3 linked regions of the Arabidopsis thaliana genome follow. Each later gene encodes a partner of the first gene's protein in a complex. Each region holds a gene or a part of one and is shown in the gene's direction. Other genes may lie near its edges.

Evidence for each region.
Region 2: ELF7 (region 1) and VIP4 share a complex: the UniProt entries of both Arabidopsis thaliana proteins name them as parts of the nuclear PAF1 complex.
Region 3: ELF7 (region 1) and VIP3 share a complex: the UniProt entries of both Arabidopsis thaliana proteins name them as parts of the nuclear PAF1 complex.

Annotation. Positions count from the first base shown.
Region 1 is NC_003070.9:30,002,358-30,006,109, reverse strand, and holds the start of ELF7 (hydroxyproline-rich glycoprotein family protein), read left to right. Parts: upstream 1-2,026; 5' UTR 2,027-2,140; coding exon 2,141-2,736; intron 2,737-2,814; coding exon 2,815-2,883; intron 2,884-2,963; coding exon 2,964-3,071; intron 3,072-3,155; coding exon 3,156-3,336; intron 3,337-3,425; coding exon 3,426-3,502; intron 3,503-3,585; coding exon 3,586-3,705; intron 3,706-3,752. Other genes in the region: AT1G79740 (hAT transposon superfamily), read left to right, coding at 1-1,036, 1,343-1,743. UniProt on the Arabidopsis thaliana protein: Component of the PAF1 complex (PAF1C) which is involved in histone modifications such as methylation on histone H3 'Lys-4' (H3K4me3). Involved in regulation of flowering time.
Region 2 is NC_003076.8:24,605,633-24,609,384, reverse strand, and holds the start of VIP4 (leo1-like family protein), read left to right. Parts: upstream 1-1,659; 5' UTR 1,660-1,856; coding exon 1,857-1,973; intron 1,974-2,236; coding exon 2,237-2,568; intron 2,569-2,737; coding exon 2,738-2,867; intron 2,868-2,990; coding exon 2,991-3,191; intron 3,192-3,513; coding exon 3,514-3,690; intron 3,691-3,752. Other genes in the region: AACT1 (anthocyanin 5-aromatic acyltransferase 1), read right to left, coding at 1-604. UniProt on the Arabidopsis thaliana protein: Component of the PAF1 complex (PAF1C) which is involved in histone modifications such as methylation on histone H3 'Lys-4' (H3K4me3). Involved in regulation of flowering time. Required for the expression of the flowering repressor and MADS box gene FLC.
Region 3 is NC_003075.7:14,595,596-14,599,347, forward strand, and holds VIP3 (Transducin/WD40 repeat-like superfamily protein), read left to right. Parts: upstream 1-1,963; 5' UTR 1,964-2,132; coding exon 2,133-2,471; exon of another isoform or gene 2,472-2,628; intron 2,629-2,935; coding exon 2,936-3,562; 3' UTR 3,563-3,705; downstream 3,706-3,752. Other genes in the region: homolog of CFIM-25, read right to left, coding at 452-523, 657-767, 868-954, 1,043-1,116, 1,207-1,300, 1,401-1,446, 1,538-1,722. UniProt on the Arabidopsis thaliana protein: Component of the PAF1 complex (PAF1C) which is involved in histone modifications such as methylation on histone H3 'Lys-4' (H3K4me3). Involved in regulation of flowering time. Required for the expression of the flowering repressor and MADS box gene FLC.

The DNA of each region.
Region 1 (3,752 bases):
GTCACCACCGGCTGTACTATCATCGCTGAGGCATGGACCGACAACAAATCACGAGCACTGATTAACTTCTCCGTCTCTTCACCTTCCAGAATCTTTTTTCACAAGTCTGTCGACGCCTCCTCATATTTCAAGAACTCAAAATGCCTTGCTGATCTCTTTGATTCTGTCATCCAAGATATTGGTCAGGAGCATATTGTGCAAATCATTATGGACAACAGCTTCTGCTACACTGGTATCTCAAACCATCTCTTGCAAAACTATGCAACCATTTTCGTCTCCCCCTGTGCATCTCAGTGTTTGAACATCATCTTAGAAGAATTCTCCAAGGTTGATTGGGTCAATCAATGTATATCGCAAGCGCAGGTCATATCTAAGTTTGTCTACAACAATAGCCCCGTGCTAGATTTATTGAGAAAGTTAACAGGCGGGCAAGATATTATCCGAAGCGGTGTCACAAGGTCTGTCTCCAATTTTCTATCATTACAGTCAATGATGAAACAAAAGGCAAGGCTAAAACACATGTTCAATTGCCCAGAGTATACCACAAATACTAACAAACCACAGAGCATTTCATGCGTGAATATCCTAGAGGATAATGATTTCTGGAGAGCTGTGGAAGAAAGTGTGGCTATTTCCGAGCCTATCCTGAAAGTGTTGAGGGAAGTTTCTACTGGAAAGCCCGCTGTAGGTTCTATATACGAGTTAATGTCCAAGGCCAAGGAGTCAATACGGACATACTACATCATGGATGAGAATAAGCATAAGGTCTTTTCTGACATAGTTGATACTAACTGGTGTGAGCATTTGCATTCACCTCTTCATGCAGCAGCAGCATTCTTGAACCCCAGTATTCAGTATAACCCAGAGATAAAGTTCCTCACTTCCTTGAAAGAAGATTTTTTCAAAGTGTTGGAGAAACTTCTTCCTACTAGCGATCTACGGCGTGATATTACAAATCAGATATTCACTTTCACTAGGGCAAAGGGAATGTTCGGCTGTAACCTGGCCATGGAGGCGAGGGATTCAGTTTCACCAGGTATGGACAATAAATACATTTATATTTTCTTTAAGTCATGACTAGTGAACAGAGATGTATAGGTAGTCTGAGTCGGGAGAAAAATAATCCACTTATCTATGACCGCAATTAAAGCTATGGTCTTATTACACAACTAAATAAGTCCAGGTTGATATAGCCTGGCACGTAGTAAACCGAATTGCAAAACTAGTAGATATCTTCCCCTCACCAGGCTATTAGGGGTATGGTCTGGGATCTTTAGAATTGGTAACGAAGCACTAGAAGACTAGAAGTTGATGTCTAATAATGGTTTGCTTAGTAATGCAGGTCTCTGGTGGGAGCAGTTTGGTGACTCAGCACCTGTTTTGCAGCGGGTGGCCATCAGAATACTAAGCCAAGTTTGCAGCGGTTACAACTTGGAACGCCAATGGAGCACATTCCAGCAGATGCACTGGGAAAGGCGAAACAAGATTGACAGAGAAATATTGAACAAGTTGGCGTACGTGAATCAGAATCTAAAGTTAGGGAGGATGATAACCTTGGAGACAGACCCAATTGCCCTGGAGGACATTGACATGATGTCGGAGTGGGTGGAAGAGGCAGAGAATCCCAGTCCTGCCCAGTGGCTTGACCGTTTTGGGACCGCCCTTGATGGAGGCGACTTGAACACCAGGCAGTTTGGCGGTGCTATTTTCAGTGCCAACGACCATAACATCTTCGGCTTGTGAAGTCCTGGTAAGAGGTTTTCATAAGTTGGTCCAGCGTGTTGAGTGTTTAACCACACACCTCGGTTCGCTATACTGTACATAATGTTTGAGTAATTATCAATGTAGAAAATAAATATTTTGTGTTCCTCACACAGTCACACGTCGATGAGCTTGGTGGTACAAAGCATGTTTCGTTCATATTTGGGATTCATAAAACGGTGAGCTTAAGATTGTTTTTGTTTGTATTGAAGCCGTAATTATCAGAACCCATATGATAGTAGCGGTTATTGGGCCGCTAGTGAGGCCCAAATTAAAGTAAAAAGGAAAAATCAGTCTGACCGGAGCTATATAATTAATATATATCAAGAAGACTCGTTTTAGTTGGTTTAGGTGATTCAGATCACAAAGTACACCGAGAATGGCGTCGTACCGGCCGCCGTATCCTCCTCTTCCTCAGCCACCATCTCAAAATTCTTTGGCCCCTCCGCCTCCCCCGCCGTCGTTACCCCCTCCTGTTCCTCCCCCACCACCGTCGCATCAACCGTACTCATATCCTCCGCCGCCGCCTCCTCCTCCGCATGCTTACTATCAGCAGGGGCCCCACTATCCTCAATTCAACCAGCTCCAAGCTCCTCCTCCTCCGCCACCTCCCTCAGCTCCTCCTCCGCTCGTTCCCGATCCTCCTCGACACCAGGGTCCCAATGACCACGAGAAAGGGGCCTCCAAGCAGGTTGGAAGGCGGGAGCGTGCTAAACCGGATCCATCGAAGCACCACCACAGGTCTCATCTTCCTCATTCTAAGAAAATCGAGACCGAAGAAGAGAGGAGGCTTAGGAAGAAGAGGGAGTTAGAGAAACAAAGGCAAGACGAAAAACATAGACAGCAGATGAAAAATTCTCACAAGTCTCAGATGCCCAAGGGACACACCGAGGAGAAGAAGCCGACGCCCCTACTCACCACCGACAGGGTCGAGAATAGGTTAAAGAAACCAACCACCTTCATCTGCAAGCTCAAGTCAGTATTCTTCAAACGACTACCTAAATCTTTTTTACATATTATTGTTAGACTCTGATATTCATCTTCTTCTTCAAGGTTCCGGAATGAGCTCCCTGACCCTAGTGCACAGCTTAAGCTTATGACCATTAAACGGGATAAAGATCAGTATGTTTCTCTATTATTGCCAAATTTTATTTCTGTGTTATTCTACTGTCCTTACTTGCCAGCTATTTTGATCCCACTAGATTTACAAAGTATACCATCACATCCCTGGAGAAATTATGGAAACCAAAAATCTTTGTCGAGCCTGATCTTGGAATACCCTTGGATCTGCTTGACCTAAGTGTGTACAAGTATGTGCTCTCAATAAAGTCTTAGTGTCTTTAATGCCAGCGACCTCATCTACTGGGGATACTTACTGTTGTAGCTCTTTTCAGCCCTCCCAAAGTCAAGGCACCTCTTGCCCCTGAAGATGAAGAACTCTTGCGTGATGATGACGCTGTTACACCTATTAAGAAAGATGGCATCCGGAGGAAAGAAAGACCTACTGATAAAGGCATGTCTTGGCTCGTCAAAACACAATACATTTCTTCTATTAATAACGAATCGGCAAGACAGGTATCTATCCATCTCGCTTGTTGGAAATTTGTTTTGCCATGTATAGCTTCTAGAGACAGTTTCCAATTTCCTATGTTTACCTTGTGTAGTCGCTAACGGAGAAGCAAGCAAAGGAACTGCGAGAGATGAAAGGAGGCATCAACATCTTGCACAATCTTAACAATAGGTGTGTTGTTTCTCAAATATGTGTATTTCTAAGGAAAGTGAGAAAAAAAAAGGTCTAATGGTTTATTTTTCTTTGGTCTCTAGAGAGAGACAAATCAAGGATATTGAAGCATCCTTTGAGGCATGCAAGTCTCGACCAGTTCATGCCACCAATAAAAACTTGCAGCCGGTTGAAGTTCTACCACTGTTGCCATATTTTGATAGGTTGGATGCTCTTTATTTCCCCTTGCAGACAATCTTAAATCTGAAAT
Region 2 (3,752 bases), on another chromosome or scaffold:
CATTGACGACAGAACGATCTAAAACCGTTGGTAGAATTTTCGGTATGGTGCCATGTTTACAAGTGTGAGCCCATGCTTTGTTAAATTTTTCAGCCGTTTTGCCGTCCAAGACGACATGGTGGGCTGTGGTTCCAATGCAGAAGCCTTGTTTCGGGAACAAAGTGACTTGCAGAGATACAACAGCCCCCGAGTCAGAATAAATCGGTAGCTCGGGTATTAGAGGGCGTAACTCTAGCTCTGGACGAAGCCCTCTGCCAGAGATACGTGAGAAATCCGCATCAGTCTCAGCCACTGTGAGAGAGAGTGTGTCTCCTGAGAGAACAACTAAATGCGGCTTTGGATCTTGTGAATCCCACTTAAGGTGACCCGTGAATAGGCGAAAGTGAGTGAGGATGAGTGAAAGAGATCGCTCGAGCTTGGGGAGGATGGAGGAGTAGAAAACGTCGCGAGATGATGATGATTCGGTGAGTTTGTAAAAGAAGACTTGCTCGGTAGGGTTGAGTTTAAGCCACTGTAAATCAAAGAACGAGAGTGGGACAATGAGCGGGTCGACGGAGGCGGTTGCAGGGCTGACTCGGGAGATCTTGATCACCTTTAACGCCATTTCTCACTTGTACTCTCGTCTTTTAGATAATATTCCTTTGTACGTATGAGTTTATTCAGCTGAGTATCAGATGGAGTTAACTCTTATACTAACATAACAAGCTACCGAGTCAGCCCTAGTCAAAAACGTTGGTTGGAAGCCAAGGCACGTAATTACCATTTGAATTATTTTGGTCCCTCCAGAGGCGGCCAGGCGGCTTAAGCCAACTGCGACTGCCAGATATCATAGATAAAAATTGTTATATATATATATATATATATATATATATAAAATATATAATTTTATTTTTGTGGTTTATATTTATTATTTTTGGTGGTAAAAACATTCTTAGAAGATAAATTTTTGTAGATAAAAGGCTGAAAAATAAATTTATGGAAAATATATAAATAAACATTTGTGAGCAAAATGTGTCTACATAAAATTGTAATTTTCTCGAGTTAAAAAAAAGCAAAAAGTGAAATTTCCAAAAGCCTTAAACTAGTTTGAGTAATTTAAAAGTGTCCATAGTTTTTTCTTTTTTCTTTTTATTCCATAATTTCTTGAGTTTTTCAGAAATTACTATAATTCTGTTTAAATTTTCAGGATTTCCTGAATATTCATGATGTTTAGTTGTCACTTAAGTTTTCATAGAACACAAGTCGGTTATGCTTTTACCTAATCTTTGTCTCTTGTTAATTTCTAAAGCAGATAAAATCTATAAACCAACAACAATGTTTTAGAAGAAGACATAACATTTATTTTGGCAACTCAAGTTATTTGATCAAAGAAGTTAATAATTAGTTTTTAAAATAAATTAAATATAAAAAAATAGGGGCCAAAAGAATCAGTTAAAAGGATGTTGTATCATTCATATACATAGGGGCCAAGGCAAACACAAGCTCACTATCACAAAGAAACTGGTATCCATAACCCAAAATTTGTGGGCCAAAAATATTGAATTCCAATCTCAAAAAAGCCCATAAAATCCCATCTTTTTTCCCTCTCTAGTCGTCGTTACACGTAAAAAAAATGATTTTTAATAATCCGGTAATGCGTTAAAAAAGATATATCGATGAAAATTTCCTTTTCTTTGTAAGTTGTAACAATTGTTTTTAATAATAATAATTCTGATGCCATAAAATCGCGAGGTAGAGATGAAAAAAAAATAGCTTCTTCAACAAAGGCCGATAACAGTGAACCCTTCGTCGGAGCTCAGATCACGAGCCGCCGTCACCAGCTAAGAGGCAGTGACTTTTGAGTAAGTGAGGCGAAGATGGTTAAAGGAGAAAAGAGATCCGAGATGATGCTTAATCTGTTCGGAGATAATTCCGAGGAAGAAGAGATCGAATCCGAACATGAATGCAATCGTCGTCAGCCTAACTACGCTTCCGTAACTCTCTCCATCTTTATCTCCTTCGTTTCGTCACTATTGATTGTTTCAGTTTTCGTATTTTTCACTGCCACTGTTCTTCAATTACACCTTGGAATACGAATGGTTTCTGGAGTTCTTCTCGCTTGAATTTAGGGTTTTAGGTTAATTGCAGGAACCAATGCAACTTATTAGGCCTAATTCAGCTTCAGTTCTTCTTAATATCAACTAGACTAAGATATCAGTGAAATTGTGGCTGAAATTTCCAATGTAAACACTGATAGGATGAGGCTGAGGGCGGGGTGGAGCCTGAAGGAGAAGGTGAAGCTGAGGTTGAAGTTCACGGAGAAGCTGAAGCTGAGTCTGACGGGGAACAGGGAGATGTAGAACTTGATCCTGGAGAAAGTGAGGGTGAGAGGGAGCAAAGTTCACAGGAGGCTGATCCACAAGAGGAAAGTGAAGCAAGAGATAGTGATAGTGATAACAAAGAAGAAGAACATGGGGGTAGAGTAGCCAAAAAGAGGAGACAGGAGGTTGTTGAGAGCGGATCAGAGAGGTCTGGTGAAAAGCATTATGAGTCTGAAGATGAAGAGGTTGATCAGACTAGGAGTCCAAGGTACCCCTTTTTCCATTCTTTTTTTTCCTAGCTGTTTCATAGCTTCTTTTTGATCTTTTCTGTGCTCTGGATTTAATAATACTTGCTAGTCCTCTGAGGTTCCTTGGATTTTCAAATTTCTTATGGATCACTTTGTCTTTTGTACATGGAAATATGGCGTGGTGGGTAGATCACCTAGTGAGGAGAAGGAAGAGGTTCAAGTTGCACAGTCAGACGTAAATATTCGTAATGTTTTCGGATCTTCGGATGATGAAGACGCAGAAGAATATGTTCGGAATGACGTTGAGCAGGATGAACATGTGAGTCTTGCATCTAATATTACATTTCAGTTTACAGAATATCTGTTTCCTTTCCAGTGTTTGCTTCCTTTTAGAAACCATATGAAATTGCATGTATGTATGATGAGATGTCTAATTTTGTAGAGATCGCCAATCGAAGATGAAGAGGGCTCTGAGAAGGATCTGAGACCCGATGATATGGTGCTTGATGATATAATCCCTGAAGAAGATCCTCAATACGAGTCAGAAGCTGAACATGTTGAAGCTAGGTACAGGGAGAGGCCAGTTGGTCCCCCTTTGGAAGTGGAGGTTCCTTTCCGCCCTCCTCCAGGTGACCCCGTTAAGGTATACCTGCTTTATGTTGCTAAAAGATTATTCGCTGACATGGCTTCAAATCAATAGTTTCCTTTCTGGTATTTCCAAGTTACCAAAATCTCTCATATCATTGTGGTTCGAAGAGTGAGTATCTGATGTCTTTTATGTGGAGAACCATTGCACTGAAACATGCTTCTACATTTACTTAGCATGAAGGGCCATTTGGTGTACATGAGCGTGCTATTCTGTTTTATATCTGAAACCCCATTTTCTAGTTGTCTATCTGTAGTGAAGATGTTCTGTAGCAAAATTGCGCTTCCTCATATACCGTTTTCTCTTTGATCTTTTTCAGATGAACATGATAAAAGTTTCCAATATCATGGGGATTGATCCAAAGCCTTTTGATGCCAAAACATTCGTTGAAGAAGACACATTCATGACAGATGAACCCGGAGCAAAGAATCGTATCCGTTTGGACAATAATATTGTTCGCCATAGGTTTGTTAAGAGTCGAGATGGCAAAACATATGTAAGTGAACACTTCTTCAAAGCTTTTCTGCTTTTAAATTTTCCATCAAACCTGCAATGAAG
Region 3 (3,752 bases), on another chromosome or scaffold:
AAACTAACGTTTGATATTTATAGAAAGTTTTCAATATTTCAAATATTGTTTGATCAAATACAATAAACACATATAACAAACAGTAAAATCTTTACTTATGTTTCTCGGTTTCATGTTTGAAGATAACAAGGTTTTCTTCAACAAGGAATATACAAATAAGCATACACCCCTATATTTGTTTTACTCATGTATACATTCAATTACACATCGAAATTATCACACAAAGAAAAATTGTTTCGAATTGATTAATCTATCTATCAGTATACTTCATGTCTAGTCTCTATAACCAACAAGAACATGCTATTCTTCAACATTGTCTATATATTATAAGCCCTATATACATTATATAGTCACAGACTCAGAGAGGCTCCACAAACGATTTCCCCAAACATAATCCTATCACAAATTGCGGGGGGCAAGAGCTACTAGAGGCAATGATCATGAGGTTCGTTCATATCTCCATCATGTTGAAGGAGAATTTCGAAAGAAGCTTAGGAATTTGCGACATGATCGGCCCATAAGTCTGCAACGCATAAATGAAACATCACAACACATAATTAAATACAGCTTGATTGACTGACCCTGTTAGTTTTACCAGGAACATCGATTAAAAGTTCACGATGAGTTAAGGGCAATGCAAGTAAGATAGTACATACCTTTTCATTTTCATGGAGTTGACACAATGGAACAGCGAGGAGTTTGAAGTTCTTAGGCACAACAAACTGTTGATGTACCGGTAATCTCACAAGAAAAAGCTTTGTGCATTCCTACACAAAAGATGAGGATAGAGCAGAGCTTTTAGTATAAGCGCAAATCTTCAAAAGTCTCAACTTTTTCTTACAATGAAAGTGAAACTAACTAACCAACCTTTGGGTGTTTAATATTAGGTGGCAAGAAAGGATACATCAATGTCTCAAAGTTGGGTCTCCACCACATCCCAATACATTCTCCTACCTACAACAATGTTGTAATTAGAGAGACCATTCTTAAGCCAGAAACAATCAGATACAAAAGCACTTTAACAAGAAGCCATAGTTCCTACCTCATAACCCGAAACACCCACATTTTCGTTAACCGATAGCTTTGATGCTAGTTTCCGTTTTAGACCTTCAATATCTAGAAGATTAAGGAGAAACATGACTTTAGCGTTTAGAATTGAGACAGCGATATTTATGCATAAAGATGCAAGGAAACAGCATACTAAACCTGATTCTCCAGGTCTCAAACGACCACCAGGAAGCTTGAAAATGGAGTTTCTATATTGAAGAAGCAAAACATGAGGATGCTTGAACAACTCAACCTGATGTGTCCCAACATTAGATTTTAATCAATCCTTTCAAACCAATTTTCCCTGTAAAACTTTTCAAAATCCCTAATTTGGCTACCAACTATAAAATTACCAGAAGAACAGCTTCAACGCAAGTTCTCAATCCATGAGCAGCATAACTTCAAAAGAAACAAAAAAGAAACTTTAGCTATAGATTAAAACAATAAGAAAAAAACCAGATGATCTAAATCACATCAAAACTCGATTTACTTGGATTTCAATCTGATGACTCGATCAGAGATAATCTCGTCCTTGACGCGAAGAGCTTCTTTTGAACCGAAGTAGTAGCTGCTAAGCGGGTATAAATCAACCATCAAGTCATGAACGACATCGTTTCGTCTCGTCGTGTTGTCACTGATCTCCTCCATATCTAACGCTCGAGCTTCTTCACCCATTTTCTGCCCGTAAAATTCAAAGACGAGAGCTAAAAGCGATCTCAATCGATTAAAATTAAATAACAGAGAGACCACGAGAGCAGAGAAGACGCAAGAAGAAGAGTGAAGAAAGGTGTCGTAGTCGGATCACTGAGACGTGGCGGCTCCAGAGAGTACTTCTCCGCAATTAGCTGACGACGGCGGGAGAGTGAGGAAGAAGATATTAATGGGCCTGTTACGATATTAATGGGCCTTTAGTAGTAAACAAGAATACGGAACGATGTTAAACACTCTATTGTTTCCAACTACTAAAAACGACGCGAGTTTCTATTTTATAACTAAAAAACGAGAATCAAAGTCTCTGTTTCAAATTTGGGTCTTTTGCTTCTTCTTGCTCACTTGAGGAAACACAGTAAAAACCTAAAAAGAGAATGAAACTCGCAGGTCTGAAATCGATCGAGAACGCTCACGAAGATTCCGTTTGGGCAGCGACGTGGGTTCCGGCGACGGAAGATCGACCGGCGTTGCTTCTGACTGGATCTCTTGACGAGACGGTGAAGTTATGGCGACCGGACGAGCTGGATCTTGTGCGGACTAATACTGGACACTCTTTGGGAGTAGCAGCTTTGGCTGCGCATCCTTCTGGGATTATTGCAGCATCTTCTTCGATTGATAGCTTTGTCCGTGTGTTTGATGTTGATACTAATGCTACGATTGCTGTTTTGGAAGCTCCTCCTTCTGAGGTTTGGGGAATGCAATTTGAACCTAAGGTAATTGACTCAATGAGATTGCCTCCAATTTTAGGGTTTTGAAGGATTTTGGGTTGTTTTGTGGTGAAAGAATTCGATTGCTTCATTGAATTTCACTTCTTAGTTGCGAGTAATGCTTCTCCTGATCTATATAACAATGCTTGGGTACTATATGGAATTGCTGAGTATCGTTTGAATCTGTAGCTCTGATCAGATAGGGTCATCTACTCTGCTCGGAAAATAGATCTAGATCATCTTCTGATTTTTCATTGAGTCTTATATAGTAGATTAAGAACAATTTATTGGTGCTTTGATGATAAATCTTGATTTGGTATGATAGAATTTTGACCTGGTGACTATCAAGTATCAGTGCAATGATCTCTCTTTTAGTTTGCAGTGGAGTTTTTATTTGCTTCTGAGCTTATAATTTCAACATTACTCTTTAGAATGGTGCTCTGCTAACATAGTATTTTACATGTTCCAAGGGTACGATCCTTGCTGTTGCAGGTGGAAGTAGTGCCTCAGTCAAGCTTTGGGACACTGCAAGCTGGAGATTAATCTCAACTCTATCAATCCCACGCCCAGATGCACCAAAACCTTCCGATAAAACCAGCAGCAAGAAATTCGTTCTCTCGGTGGCTTGGTCTCCTAATGGGAAACGACTTGCTTGTGGTTCAATGGATGGTACGATCTGTGTTTTTGATGTTGACCGCTCAAAGCTACTTCACCAGCTAGAAGGTCACAATATGCCTGTAAGGTCCCTTGTGTTCTCCCCTGTAGACCCGAGAGTCCTCTTCTCTGGATCAGATGATGGGCATGTGAACATGCACGATGCAGAAGGGAAAACGCTGTTGGGGTCCATGTCAGGGCACACGAGTTGGGTGCTGAGCGTTGATGCTAGCCCAGACGGTGGAGCCATAGCAACCGGCTCAAGCGATAGAACTGTGAGGCTATGGGATCTTAAAATGAGAGCTGCGATTCAGACAATGAGCAACCACAATGACCAGGTTTGGTCTGTGGCCTTTAGACCACCAGGTGGAACCGGTGTCCGGGCTGGTCGACTTGCTAGTGTCTCTGATGACAAGAGTGTATCGCTCTATGATTACTCATGAACAATTCGGTTTTTTGACTTTTTTCTTTTATGCATTCTCCAAGACGCATCTAGTTGTAACAATATAATCTGCAACAGGTTGATTTTGACCGGAGTCTTTAGATTTATCGCTTACACAAAAAACAAAGAAGATAAAATGATTCAAACTTTGCGATAGAACTTTATTGGAAAACTGAGAAACAGATAAAGAT